Sus scrofa: one gene and its partners. The main gene of each other region encodes a partner of the protein of the gene in region 2 in a complex. Links are inferred from orthologs where the notes say so. Each region holds a gene or a part of one and is shown on either strand. Other genes may lie near its edges.

Region 1 (4,360 bases), on a different chromosome or scaffold from region 2:
TATAATAGCAAGAGGATTAAAAAAAAAACACAGATTGATCATGTTCTTCTCTAAGATTATGCATGCCTGACTCCCTATTTCATTCAGCAAAAGCCCAAGTCCTAATAATGGCCTATCAGGCTTTACCTGACTGGCCCTCTTTGTCTTCGACCTCATCTCCTACTCTACTCTAGTCACTGTGGCTTTCTTGCTCTTCCTTGAACCCACCAAGCACATTCCCAATCTGAGTTCCTGGCACTTGGTTTTCCTGCTACCTGGAAAATTCTTCCAAGTGAATGGCCCTCTTCTTCAACTTCTTCGGTCTTGGCTCAAGGGTCATTCTAAGGCTTCTCCAGCCCACCTTGTTTCTTCTCTACCACTTCACTATCTGATATGCATTTATCTTCTCCCCACTTAGAATGTAAGCTCCATGAAGAAACTGTTTTGTTCACAATCCCTAGCACTCAAGAGTTCCTAGCACATAGTAAGGTGCTCTGTATTTGAAGACGAGATAACAGACTGCAGCTAACTGGAATATCTTGAGTCTGGAGGCTGCTGCTGTGTTTCTCTGGGCTCCCTCAGGATACACTGTTGCCAGCCAGTATTACTCATTTCATTCTCTAGGGAGCGGCGGGTTTGGTAGGCTCCTTTTCTAAATCCCTTCTATTATGGAATTTAAATTATAAATTGGTCATTTACTGTTGTCATACATCATGTGGCTGAATTTTCCACTGATTATATTTTTTTAATACACTTTCTTCTAGCCCTCAGCTGCTTTTTGTTCATTCTCCATAGCCTTATTACAATGCTGGAATAATTCTCTTGGAGCAGATAAAAAAAAAAAAACTGTGTTTCATTTAACATCTTAAGTTTTAGGTAAATTTAAAAGGAAAAAAAAATCTGATTCGTAATACTCAGGCCTCTTAGGTACCTGTCATCTTAAGGTAGCTGAAGATAATTTTAAACATGACGAGTCCAGAGTTTTAAGACAAAAACAAACAAAACCACCCAAACCCAAACATCCATCTTGCTCCTTTCTAACGCGTTTACACAGAACTCCTGGGTTACTGAGAGATTGTTTTGTAGGGGAAGCCGCAACTTGTCCTTAGACATTTTGGGGGTGTGGGAGTTTGCTTGCTCGCCGTACAGAAGGAATTCTAGAAGCTGGGATTGCACCACCCACCCCACACACCCCTTACTTGCAGAAACCTTTGCTCCCCCCCCCAACCCCCACCAAATAAGGGCTCCTCGCCCGGCAGTCGCCAGCTCCAGATCCAGCTGCTTGACACCTATTGTCCCTGTTTGGACGTCAAGCGACTTCGCCTGAAGGACCCTAGCTTTGATTTCGCTCAAAACTCAAGGCACTGCTCCGGCAGCCTCTCAGAGGCTGTTCCGACCTGGGCTGAGTGGCCAGCCCCCAGGCTAGGGTCTTGGGCAGGGGTGGCGGGAGGCTGGGCAGGCCCTTCCCCGCAGGCGTTCGCGCCGGGCAGCCCGAGCGGCAGCGAAGGCCCCCGCCCGCCGCTTCTCCCGCCCCCTCCGCCCCAGAGGGTTGGCTGCCTAAGTCCCTCCCGCTCCCAGCTCTCCGCCTCACTAGCAGCGGCTCTCGGTGCAGCGGGGAAAGGGCGAAGCGGCCTGCGCCCACGGAGCGCACGACACTGCCCAGAACGCACCGCCACCCTTGCCCCTTCAGCCGCCCCCTCGGGATCTCCAGCGGCCTCCGCGCGCGCACGGTGAGCGCCACCCCGGACTGAGGCGCTGAAGGGGAAGAGGGCCGCTGCCCCGAGTGTCCTTTACCTCCGGACTAGCTGGACTTTCGCGAGGGGCTTGCTCCTCAAGTCACCCCACCCGCCCTGGTCATTTCCAGTGCCCTTCTCCACCCTTCTCCGCCTCTCAGCCCCGATCGCTCTCTTCCCTCCCGTCCTCGCAGGGCGGCGAGGGCTGTCCCTTCCCTGCGGGGACCGTTGCACTGGCCGTTGGCGGCCGGCGCTGCGAGGCCCCGCCCCCGGCGCGAGCCTCGGTGCCCCGGGGCAGGTAGGCCGAGCCGGCGGCCGGCGCGGGGGAGGGGCGGGGGGCGGCGCGAGGCCCGGCCGGGCGCCCCGCTGGCGGGTCGCGCGCGCGCCCGCGGCCCCTTCCTGCCCCGGCGGCGCGCGCGCGCCGGCCCCGTCCCCACCCCCACCGCTCTCGCAGGCTCCCGCCCGCTGCGCGTTTTGTCCCGCGTCTCGCCCCGTCCGCCGCCTGACTCGCCGCTCTTGTCCTTCCTCCCGCTTTTTCTTCTCTCCCCTCACGGTCTCAAGATGCCCTCGGCCACCAGCCACAGCGGAAGCGGCAGCAAGTCGTCCGGACCGCCACCCCCGTCGGGTTCCTCCGGGAGTGAGGCGGCGGCGGGAGCCGGGGCCGCCGCGCCGGCTTCTCAGCACCCCGCGACCGGCACCGGCGCTGTCCAGACCGAGGCCATGAAGCAGATTCTCGGGGTGATCGACAAGAAACTTCGGAACCTGGAGAAGAAAAAGGTGCCCGGAGTTGGCGGGGAAGGGAGGGTTGGATGCTGACCCTGACTGCTGTAGCCTTCACGCTCCGCGTCTCGGGCGCTTCCCTTCCTCCCGGTCCCCACCCCCCACGCCCCGTCTCCCCGCTGGAAGTGGAGCTTCGTGCCCAGAAAACGGGCTCCGCGGGGAGGTGCTTGTCACCTGACCCGGACGTGGCGCTGGCCCCCGGGCTCCTTATTACTCTGCTCTTGCCGGGGGCCAGGCTGTTGGCCTTTGGGAGTGCGATGTGTAGGGGTGGGGGCCTGTCCGATCGCCGTGTGTGTGTGTGTGTGTGTGTGTGTGTGTGTGTGTGTGTGTGTGTGTGGTGTCCTTGTCTTCGTGGCCGAGGCTGGATCCGCGGGGGTCAGCGGGGGAAATGAGGACTCTCTGTGGGGAGGGCTCAGGCCCAACCGACTGCCTCGTGGAGTTGGGTTGTCCTACGTCCTATAGCCTAGGGGCTCGTCCGCCCCGTTACCGTGTACTTGAGGCTTGCGCAGTGGCCCCTCTCCTCCCTCGCAAGGGAAGTGTTTTTAGATCTTAAACTAGACTCGCTTCTTCCTCAGGCTCCCCTCTAGGAGCCTTCGACTTGTTCCCTCGCCCCCATCTCACGGGCGCCCCTACGTTTCCTTCTTTGTTTCAATTGTCTAGGTCCCCCCCCCCGAACCTCACGCTCAACTCGATCCCGAGAAGATTGTCTGCGGCGGCTTTTTGTCCCTCGGGGACTCTATAAAGAAGGATGGGAGGGAGGCTGCACCGATCGAGATTCGTTAGTCGCGGGGGAGGGGGGGGTCTGGGTTGGACGGAGGGGATCGCTAGGTCTCTGGGCACATGGAGAGCGCGTCTAACATGGCGGCGGCTACGGGGAGAGGGAAGCGCTTTACAGGAGCTGCATTGTGAGCACAAAGCGAAAGCAGAGGGGGAGGGCAGAGACCCGGCAGCCGCCCCGACTGGCCTCCCACACCTCCTCTCCAAAAAAAAAAAAAAAAATCGAGTCACACCCACAAATTTTTGGATTCGATATTTAGCCGTTCTGGGTCACACAGTGAAGTTTATCTTCAAGTTGGCCTTTTGTTTTATGCTTTCGGCGCATGACTGTGCCAGCTCTGTTTAGAGGGACACGTGTGTGCGCGCCCCTGTGTGTGTGTGTTTGTGTATGTGTAGAGAAAGGGTCTTGGCAGAAGTGAATAATTCAACATTGGAGGTGGGAAGGGAAAACAAATCAGTAGTTTAAAAAAAAAAATGAGGTAACTAACATCTATGATTATTACGCAAACTTTTGCCTTTTACCTTAAAAATAACTCCTTTAATAGCTTCTGTTTATCTGCCTCTAGTAAAACATTTATTCTAACATCTTGAGTGTTGAATAAGTCGTTTAAAAATGTTTTTCATTCATCCAGTAGTGTTACTTAAGATGTTGAAATAGTAACTACTTGGCTAAAATTTGGGCTGTGTGAAGAAAACTGATGATATTTAGGCCTTCATTACTTTAATTGCTTATTATTAATTTATTTTACATTTTGGGGGGAGTTTTAAAACGTTTTTAGAGTTGTTAATTCTGTCTCAGGTCCTATATTTGGGATTTCACTTGAATTTTATTTGAGGCTAAGAGATGCACTAATCGTGGATTTCTACCTTTGGCTTATCCTTTATTTTGATTAAACAAGTATGGTTTATTATAAATGAAATAATAGATTTATCAATATTAACAAGCAACAAAAGTATTTTAATTGCAAAGTAGCTATGTTCAAATGTGTAATAGGAGAAGCATGCCCAAGACCAGTATCTCGAGTCTGCCATCTGATTTAGTTTTTGCTGCTCTATTTGAAATTGAGACTTAGGCACCTTTTAAAAGGCTC
Region 2 (3,041 bases):
TTTCAAATTAATAACTCAGGCTAAGTTTTCTTCTTTCCACCACAAGCTTAATATAAGCTACAAAACTATAAGCTAAACTCCTTTTCAGCATCACTGGCCTGGGCCAAATGAAGTGGTTACCAATTAGTCATTTAAACTGACTCAAAGACAAGCCATGTGACTCAGTTACTTAAGTTTCTTTTTATGACGATGTTGCCAATTTTCAAATATTTGAGGTCCTAAGGACCAACTGATAACACATCGAACTTCATTTCCGCCATGCCCTTCAGTAAATCTAGAGCTTCCCAGTAACACCAAAGCAAAAGAAAACACTCTTATTCCTACTCATATACTATCTTCATACAACAGTTCTGAAGATGAATACTGTTAAAAACAAGTTAAATTTGACAACCTCATTGCCCTTCAATTAGTAATGACAAGTTATCTATCACACAAAGGCTTGCTTCACATGTATAAACAAAACCTTCACCCACTTCACACACAACATTCAACAACATACTATGCAAAACGACTATTAGTCTATATTGCCAGATTAAATTTTCCTCCAGAAAGATTTTAATAAAAATTGGCCATTTCCAAGAAACACCCACTGCATGCCCGTCAATAAAAAGGAACCATAACAAAATAGAAAATTTACCATATGGCTATGATCTAAAGAAAAGAAAGACTAGTGCACACTGAAGCACATCAGCGAAGTCCAGTATGAAAGTCACATTCCTTCTTATGGGCTATGACTAGGATTCGGAATAGACACTGAAATAAAACTTAATATAAATGCTGGACCTCTACAGAAACATCTGTCCTCAAAGGCATTCCAGTTTGAGACTCAATTTCAGAATAAGGCATAACAAAAGAACACAAGACATACGGGTGAAAGAGGGATTCTATAATCCCCAACATACTGTGAACCTGATGGAAGAAATCTAGGGTTTGTTTGTTTGGTTTTTTTTATTTTTCTTTTAAAAACTGCCAAGACTGGGATCAAAGATAAATAGAAGGCACAACAGTTTTGCTCTGGTTTTCTGTTATTCGGATTTTGCAAATTTTTTTGTTTTTTTTTTCTTTTTTTACAAATACAAATTAAACATGAAAAAGTCCTACTTCAAAAAAAATAATCTAACAGTTCAAGAAAAGCTTAGTTGCATTCTAGACATTTAAAACCTATCGTCACAATTTAAACTTCAATGGTAAAAACAGTAGGTTTTGGAACTGTTTTGTGATCACGTATCAAAAGAAAAAAAAAAAAATCCACTAACACCTTTTATTCAGTTTTTAACCACACCAGCAAGAATCAGAATTGTCAATTTTTCCAATGGCAAGTACTCCATACCAGAAGGTAGTCATGACTCTCAAAGAAGAAACAATTTCGGTTTTTCCTGTCTTCAAAATGTTTATCAATTCCTGTAATTCTCACAAGCTTTCGAAACATGTAGAAAATAAGTAAGAAATATTCCAATGAATGAAACACACCAAATGTCAGTAATAAGCAAGACACATTCCTTTGGAGAAGTGGCTGTTAAAAAAAATCCAGTCTGTATATGCAAATAAAGCAAGGAAATTCAGTCTTTTTTTCTTCTTTAAAAATCCGTTTTTCCTAAAATATCATTCCACAAAATTGGAAGTGAAGGACTAAAAGGTGAGGAGGGGAGGGAGGAGGGAAGGGGCACACACCATTAACACAAAAGTAAAATTGTACAAACTTAAGCAGTTTATGACAGACTAGGGTCATATTCCAAGATACCAAAGCTTGGTTGAAATTCACCATTCTGTGGGAGATAGGGTTTGTATTGTTGCGCGAGGAGCAATTCACTGCCTTGGAGTAAGGCCCCTTCCCACTCCAAATCCTGGTTTCTGCACCATGCCTCCACGAGGTGGGCCTCTCATGCCCCCGCCCAGCCCGCCTCGAGGGCCTCCAGGTCCCCGCAGGCGGTTATCTCGACGGTCCCCTTCCCGGGCAGCTCGGGTCTTCTTTTCTTCCACATTCAGACGGACCTCACCTCTGAACATGATGGGCTGTTAAGAAAGGTGAGCAGACTTACAGAGTGCTTATGGGTTCCTGGTTAGACTATTAAAGGCAAAATGAAGAACCAGCAGTTTACAAACCAGCTATATTCTCGCATGTCAGTTTTTGTCTCAACACTGGACACATGATTTCCCCATTAACAGATACATGGAAGAGCAGCTAGGCATACAAGCTGATTCAAAAGAGTCCATTTAAACAACACAGCAGCACAAATAACTCTCATACTTACTGAAGCAAAATTAGGTTCCTATATAATTATATAACTAAAATAACATAAACAAAATCACTAGCTTCTCCTCGGATTTGAAGGCTTAGAATAAAACTCCATCATGGGGAGTTCCTATTGTGGGTCAGTGGTGAGGAATTCGACTAGAATCCATGAGGATGCGGGTTTGAACCCTGGCCCCACTCAGTGGGTTGGGGATCTGGCAGAGCAGTGATGCCATGTGGTATAGGTTGCAGATGAGGCTCGGATCTGGCGATGCTGTGGTTGTAGTATAAGCCGGCAGCTGAAGCTCTGATTTGATCCCTGGTCCAGGAACTTCCAAGTGGCACAGATAAGGCCATAAAAAGAAAAATAAAATGGTTAATTTTGTTATGGGAATTTCAGCTCAACTGAAAAAAAAGGTCTTAAAAATTCCACTCATACAACTCAATGGTAAAACAAACAACCCAATCAAAAAATGGGCAGAAAACTCAAATAGACATTTCTCCAAGAAGACATATGGATGGCCAGCAGACACATGCAAAGATGCTCAACATCACTAGTTATGAGAGAAATACAAATCAAAACTACAAGGAGGTACCACCTCACACCAGTTAGAATGGTCATGACTAGCAAGTCTACAAATAACATATACTGGAGAGGGTGTGGAAAAAAGGGAACCCTACTACACTGTCAGTGGGAACGTAAACTGGTGCAGCCACCACAGAAAACAGTATGGAGGTTCCTCAGAAAACTAAATACAGAACTACCATATGATCGAGCAAGCCCACTCCTAGGCAATATATCCAGACA
Region 3 (3,647 bases), on a different chromosome or scaffold from region 2:
TAAAAAATAAAAGTCGGGAGTTCCCGTCGTGGCGCAGTGGTTAACGAATCCGACTAGGAACCATAAGGTTGAGGGTTCGGTCCCTGCCCTTGCTCAGTGGGTTAACGATCCAGCGTTGCCGTGAGCTGTGGTGTAGGTTGCAGACGTGGCTCGGATCCCGCGGTGCTGTGGCTCTGGCGTAGGCTGGTGGCTACAGCTCCGATTCGACCCCTAGCCTGGGAACCTCCATATGCCGCGGGAGCGGCCCAAGAAATGGCAAAAAGACCAAAAAAAAAAAAAAAAAAAAAGTCATTCTCTCCCCCTCAAAGTGAAAAGGTGGTGAGTGTTACAGCAAAACACAAAGCAGGGTAAAGGAGGTGGTGGCCAGAGGTACAATTTCATAAACGGTGAAGAGAAAGGGCTTTGCTTAGAAAGCAGCGTTTGAGGAGTTCCCGCGGTAGCTCAGCGCAACTGGCATCCATGAGGACTCGGGTTCGGATCCCTGGCCTTACTCAGCGGGTTAAGGATCCAGCCTTGCTGTGAGCGGTAGTGTAGGTTGCAGACGGGACTCGAATCCCACGTGGCGGTGGCTGTGGTGGAGGCCAGCAGCTGTAGCTCTGCTTTGACCCTAGCCTGGGAACTTCCATATGCCTCAAGTGTGGCCCTAAGAAGACCAAAAACAAACAAACAAACAAAAAAAACCCCAAAAAACACCCCACACATTTTCTATTCTGTTCTATCTGGGAAGCGGACACGTGTGTTATCCCTCCCTGGTGAGCCTAGGAAGGATTTTAACCAGTGGTGACTCCTTCCGGGCCACCTACTGAGGCTCTCCATGTGTGTCCAAGCCATTGCTCAGTCTCTGTCAGGGGAGTAACTCAGTGGCCAGTCTAAGCTGTGAGCAGGACTGGACAATGATTATCAGTGCTTCCAGTTGTGATAAAAGGCAAGGCGTGGGATTGAAGCAGAAGAGAACCCGTTTGATTGATTATACACTTCATACCTTCGTGCAGGCAAGTATTTTAATCACTTTTAATGGTTTACATCATGCTCCATTCCACACAGAGTTTGGAAATGAATATTTAAATCTTGTCTAAGTTTCTTTCTGTTTTTTTTTTTTTTTTTTTTTTTTGCTTTTCGGGGCCGCACCTGAGGCATATGGAAGCACCCAGACCAGGGATCTAATCAGCTACAGCTGCCGGGCCTACACCACAGCCACAGCCACAGCCACGTGGGATCCGAGCCGTGTCTGTGACCTACACCACAGCTCACAGCAATGCTGGATCTCTGACCCACTGAGTAAGGCCAGGGATTGAACCTGAATCCTCATGGATACTAGTCAGTTTTGTTTCCGCTGTACCACAACGGGAACTCCTGGCCTAGGTTTCTTAAAAGATCTGCAGGCTCAAACTGTGTTTGTCTACCTCATGACCAAGCTGTACTTTATGTCCAACCAAAATCACTCCAGATTTTATTTTAGTTCATTTCCTTTGAAAAAAATTTATCATCTTAAGCAGTGGAGAAATGATAAAAAGTAATAGCAAACTTTTTATCTACAACTTCCATCTACATTCTTTCATTATTTCTCTTTTCAGTGGGCCCACTCTTGAAAGATTTTGCCTGCCTATCAATATGTATTAATAAATTCTCTGCTTTGGGGGGTTTGTTTTTGGTTTGGTTTGGTTGGGTTGCGGGGGGGCACACCTGCAGCATTGAGAAGTTCCTAGGCCAGGGATCGAACCCATGCTGCAGCAGTGACCCGAGCTACAGTTGGGAATAACGCCAGATCCTTAATCCGCTGTGCTGCAGGGGAACTCCACCATTTCCATTCTTTGTGGATTTTATTCCTAAACTCTTGGGACCTTTATTTCTTCCTTGGTTGGCCCCAGGAGCCTGGGGACCCCATGCTGGGAATGAGTGACTTCGTTGCTTTCCTTATGAAACAGTGGAGAAACCTGCTCCAGAGAGAAGCAGTAGAGCTGAAGCCGGGACCACACGTCCCGGTTCACACTGCGGTGTGCCTCCCTCCACACCACGTTTTAGCTGCCTTCTCTTGGTGCTCCAGGAGGTAAACTTGGCAACAGAAATCGAAGCAGGGAGACACCCCCCTCGCTCCTCCAACACCCACCCCTCCATCGCTGCCCTACCTCCCCTGCCCACTCTTACCTTGCTCGCAGTTCTCTACTGTTCCATACTGAGCCAGCAGGCTGTCCAGTACCTGGGAGCAGGGAGAAGGGGACACAGCTGCTCTGAGCACCCCAGGAACTCATACAGCCAGCACTGGACACCCCTCATCCCCAAGCACTGGGGCACAGGCGGCGCCTTTGGTGTGGGGATGGAGCAGCTACCTGCTTGCTTTGCCCTTTCTAGGGGACTCATGCGGGTGGTGACCTGTTGGGGTTTCTTTGCAGAATATACTTTAGCTCAAGAAGACATTTAAGCGCCTTTCTGGAAGCCGGATTGTGCCACGCGGGTCCCTAACTTACCCTTTGTCATTACTAAGTTTGGGGTTCAGGGACTGCCCCTCCCACTTCCGTCAGGCCTCTCACCACAGGGACAGAACAAACACAGAAGCCTGAGGTTAGGGCTGAGACCCAGCCAGTCTCCCCTCAGCCCCAAGCCACCAGGACACCTCCCCGTCACCTCTGCCAACGCAGGCTGACCCAGACTCCCTTCCCAGTCTCTGTGATGACCCCACACCACCGATTCGAGAATCCCCCGATCACTTACTTCCCATCGCAGCTGGGGTGGAATATTTCGGATCTGTATTTTCCGACTCCTGAAATCAGAGAGAACAGTGTCAGTGACAGCTCTGGGTGCTTTTTAGGGGCCCATGACCGTGTGGGTTTTAATCCTTATCCCAGTCTACCTTCCTGTTTTCTGCTGCTCAACCCCAAAGCCTTAGAGTTGAAGAATGATAACCTTTGGGAGTGAAGATGTGGTGGTGGGGGGGGGCTTGCTTACTGTCAGTGCTACCGCAGATGGGAAGGCCAAATCAGAGGCCCTATAGGCTAGGAAAACCAAAGCCCCCCCGCCCCCGCCCCGTCCCATCTGCTTTGTGTATCTCTCTTAGTTGCTCACTAGTTCTCTTACTCAGTAACCGTCTATAACCCACTGTGTGACAGGCTCTAAGAATACAAAGCTAGCTACACAAATTATTCCATGAATCATTTATCTGATACCTTTTCAATCGGCACCTACCTCATGCCGGATTTTGTTCTACCTGCTGGGGACATAGTGATAAACAAAGCAAAGTACTGGAGTTCCCGTCATGGCTCAGTGGTTAATGAATCCGACTAGGAACCCTGAGGTTGTGGGTCTGATCCCTGGCCTTGCTCAGGGGGTTAAGGATCCGGCGTTGCCATGAGCTGAGGTGTAGGTTGCAGACTAGGCTCAGATCCCGTGTTGCTGTGGCTCTGGCATAGACTGGTGGCTACAGCTCCAATTTGACCCCTAGCCTGGGAACCTCCATATGCCGAGGGAGCGGCCCAAGAAATGGCAAAATGACAAAAAAAAAAAAAAAAAAAAAAAGGCAAACTACCTGGTCTCAAGGTGCTCACAATTTATTAGGGGAAACATGTATGCAAACAAATTACAGCAGGATAATAGGCAGCAGCTAAACTCCTTTTTTTTTCTTTTGGTACAGATATGGATTTAAACCTGTGCTC

What was found.
Region 1: the proteins of G3BP1 (region 2) and CAPRIN1 are in contact, whole or in part, in a crystal structure (PDB 8TH7), measured with the Homo sapiens proteins. The link is inferred for Sus scrofa from reciprocal best matches to the Homo sapiens genes G3BP1 and CAPRIN1. Residues at the interface, in NP_005745.1 of Homo sapiens: Glu4, Lys5, Pro6, Ser7, Leu10, Val11, Glu14, Phe15, Arg17, Gln18, Thr21, Leu22, Met29, His31, Arg32, Phe33, Tyr34, Gly35, Lys36, Gln58, Lys59, His62, Leu114, Glu117, Asn122, Lys123, Phe124, Tyr125; in NP_005889.3 of Homo sapiens: Met363, Gln365, Met366, Gln367, Gly368, Pro369, Tyr370, Asn371, Phe372, Ile373, Gln374, Asp375, Ser376, Met377, Leu378.
Region 3: G3BP1 (region 2) and IGF2BP1 share a complex: the UniProt entries of both Homo sapiens proteins name them as parts of the TAU mRNP complex. The link is inferred for Sus scrofa from reciprocal best matches to the Homo sapiens genes G3BP1 and IGF2BP1.

The regions. Positions count from the first base shown.
Region 1 is NC_010444.4:26,872,563-26,876,922, reverse strand, and holds the start of CAPRIN1 (caprin-1), read left to right. Parts: upstream 1-1,497; 5' UTR 1,498-1,709; intron 1,710-2,273; coding exon 2,274-2,489; intron 2,490-4,360. UniProt on the Homo sapiens protein: mRNA-binding protein that acts as a regulator of mRNAs transport, translation and/or stability, and which is involved in neurogenesis, synaptic plasticity in neurons and cell proliferation and migration in multiple cell types.
Region 2 is NC_010458.4:71,249,159-71,252,199, forward strand, and holds the end of G3BP1 (ras GTPase-activating protein-binding protein 1), read right to left. Parts: intron 2,014-3,041; coding exon 1,807-2,013; 3' UTR 533-1,806; downstream 1-532. UniProt on the Homo sapiens protein: Protein involved in various processes, such as stress granule formation and innate immunity. Plays an essential role in stress granule formation.
Region 3 is NC_010454.4:25,224,446-25,228,092, reverse strand, and holds part of IGF2BP1 (insulin-like growth factor 2 mRNA-binding protein 1), read right to left. Parts: intron 2,759-3,647; coding exon 2,710-2,758; intron 2,198-2,709; coding exon 2,146-2,197; intron 1-2,145. UniProt on the Homo sapiens protein: RNA-binding factor that recruits target transcripts to cytoplasmic protein-RNA complexes (mRNPs). This transcript 'caging' into mRNPs allows mRNA transport and transient storage.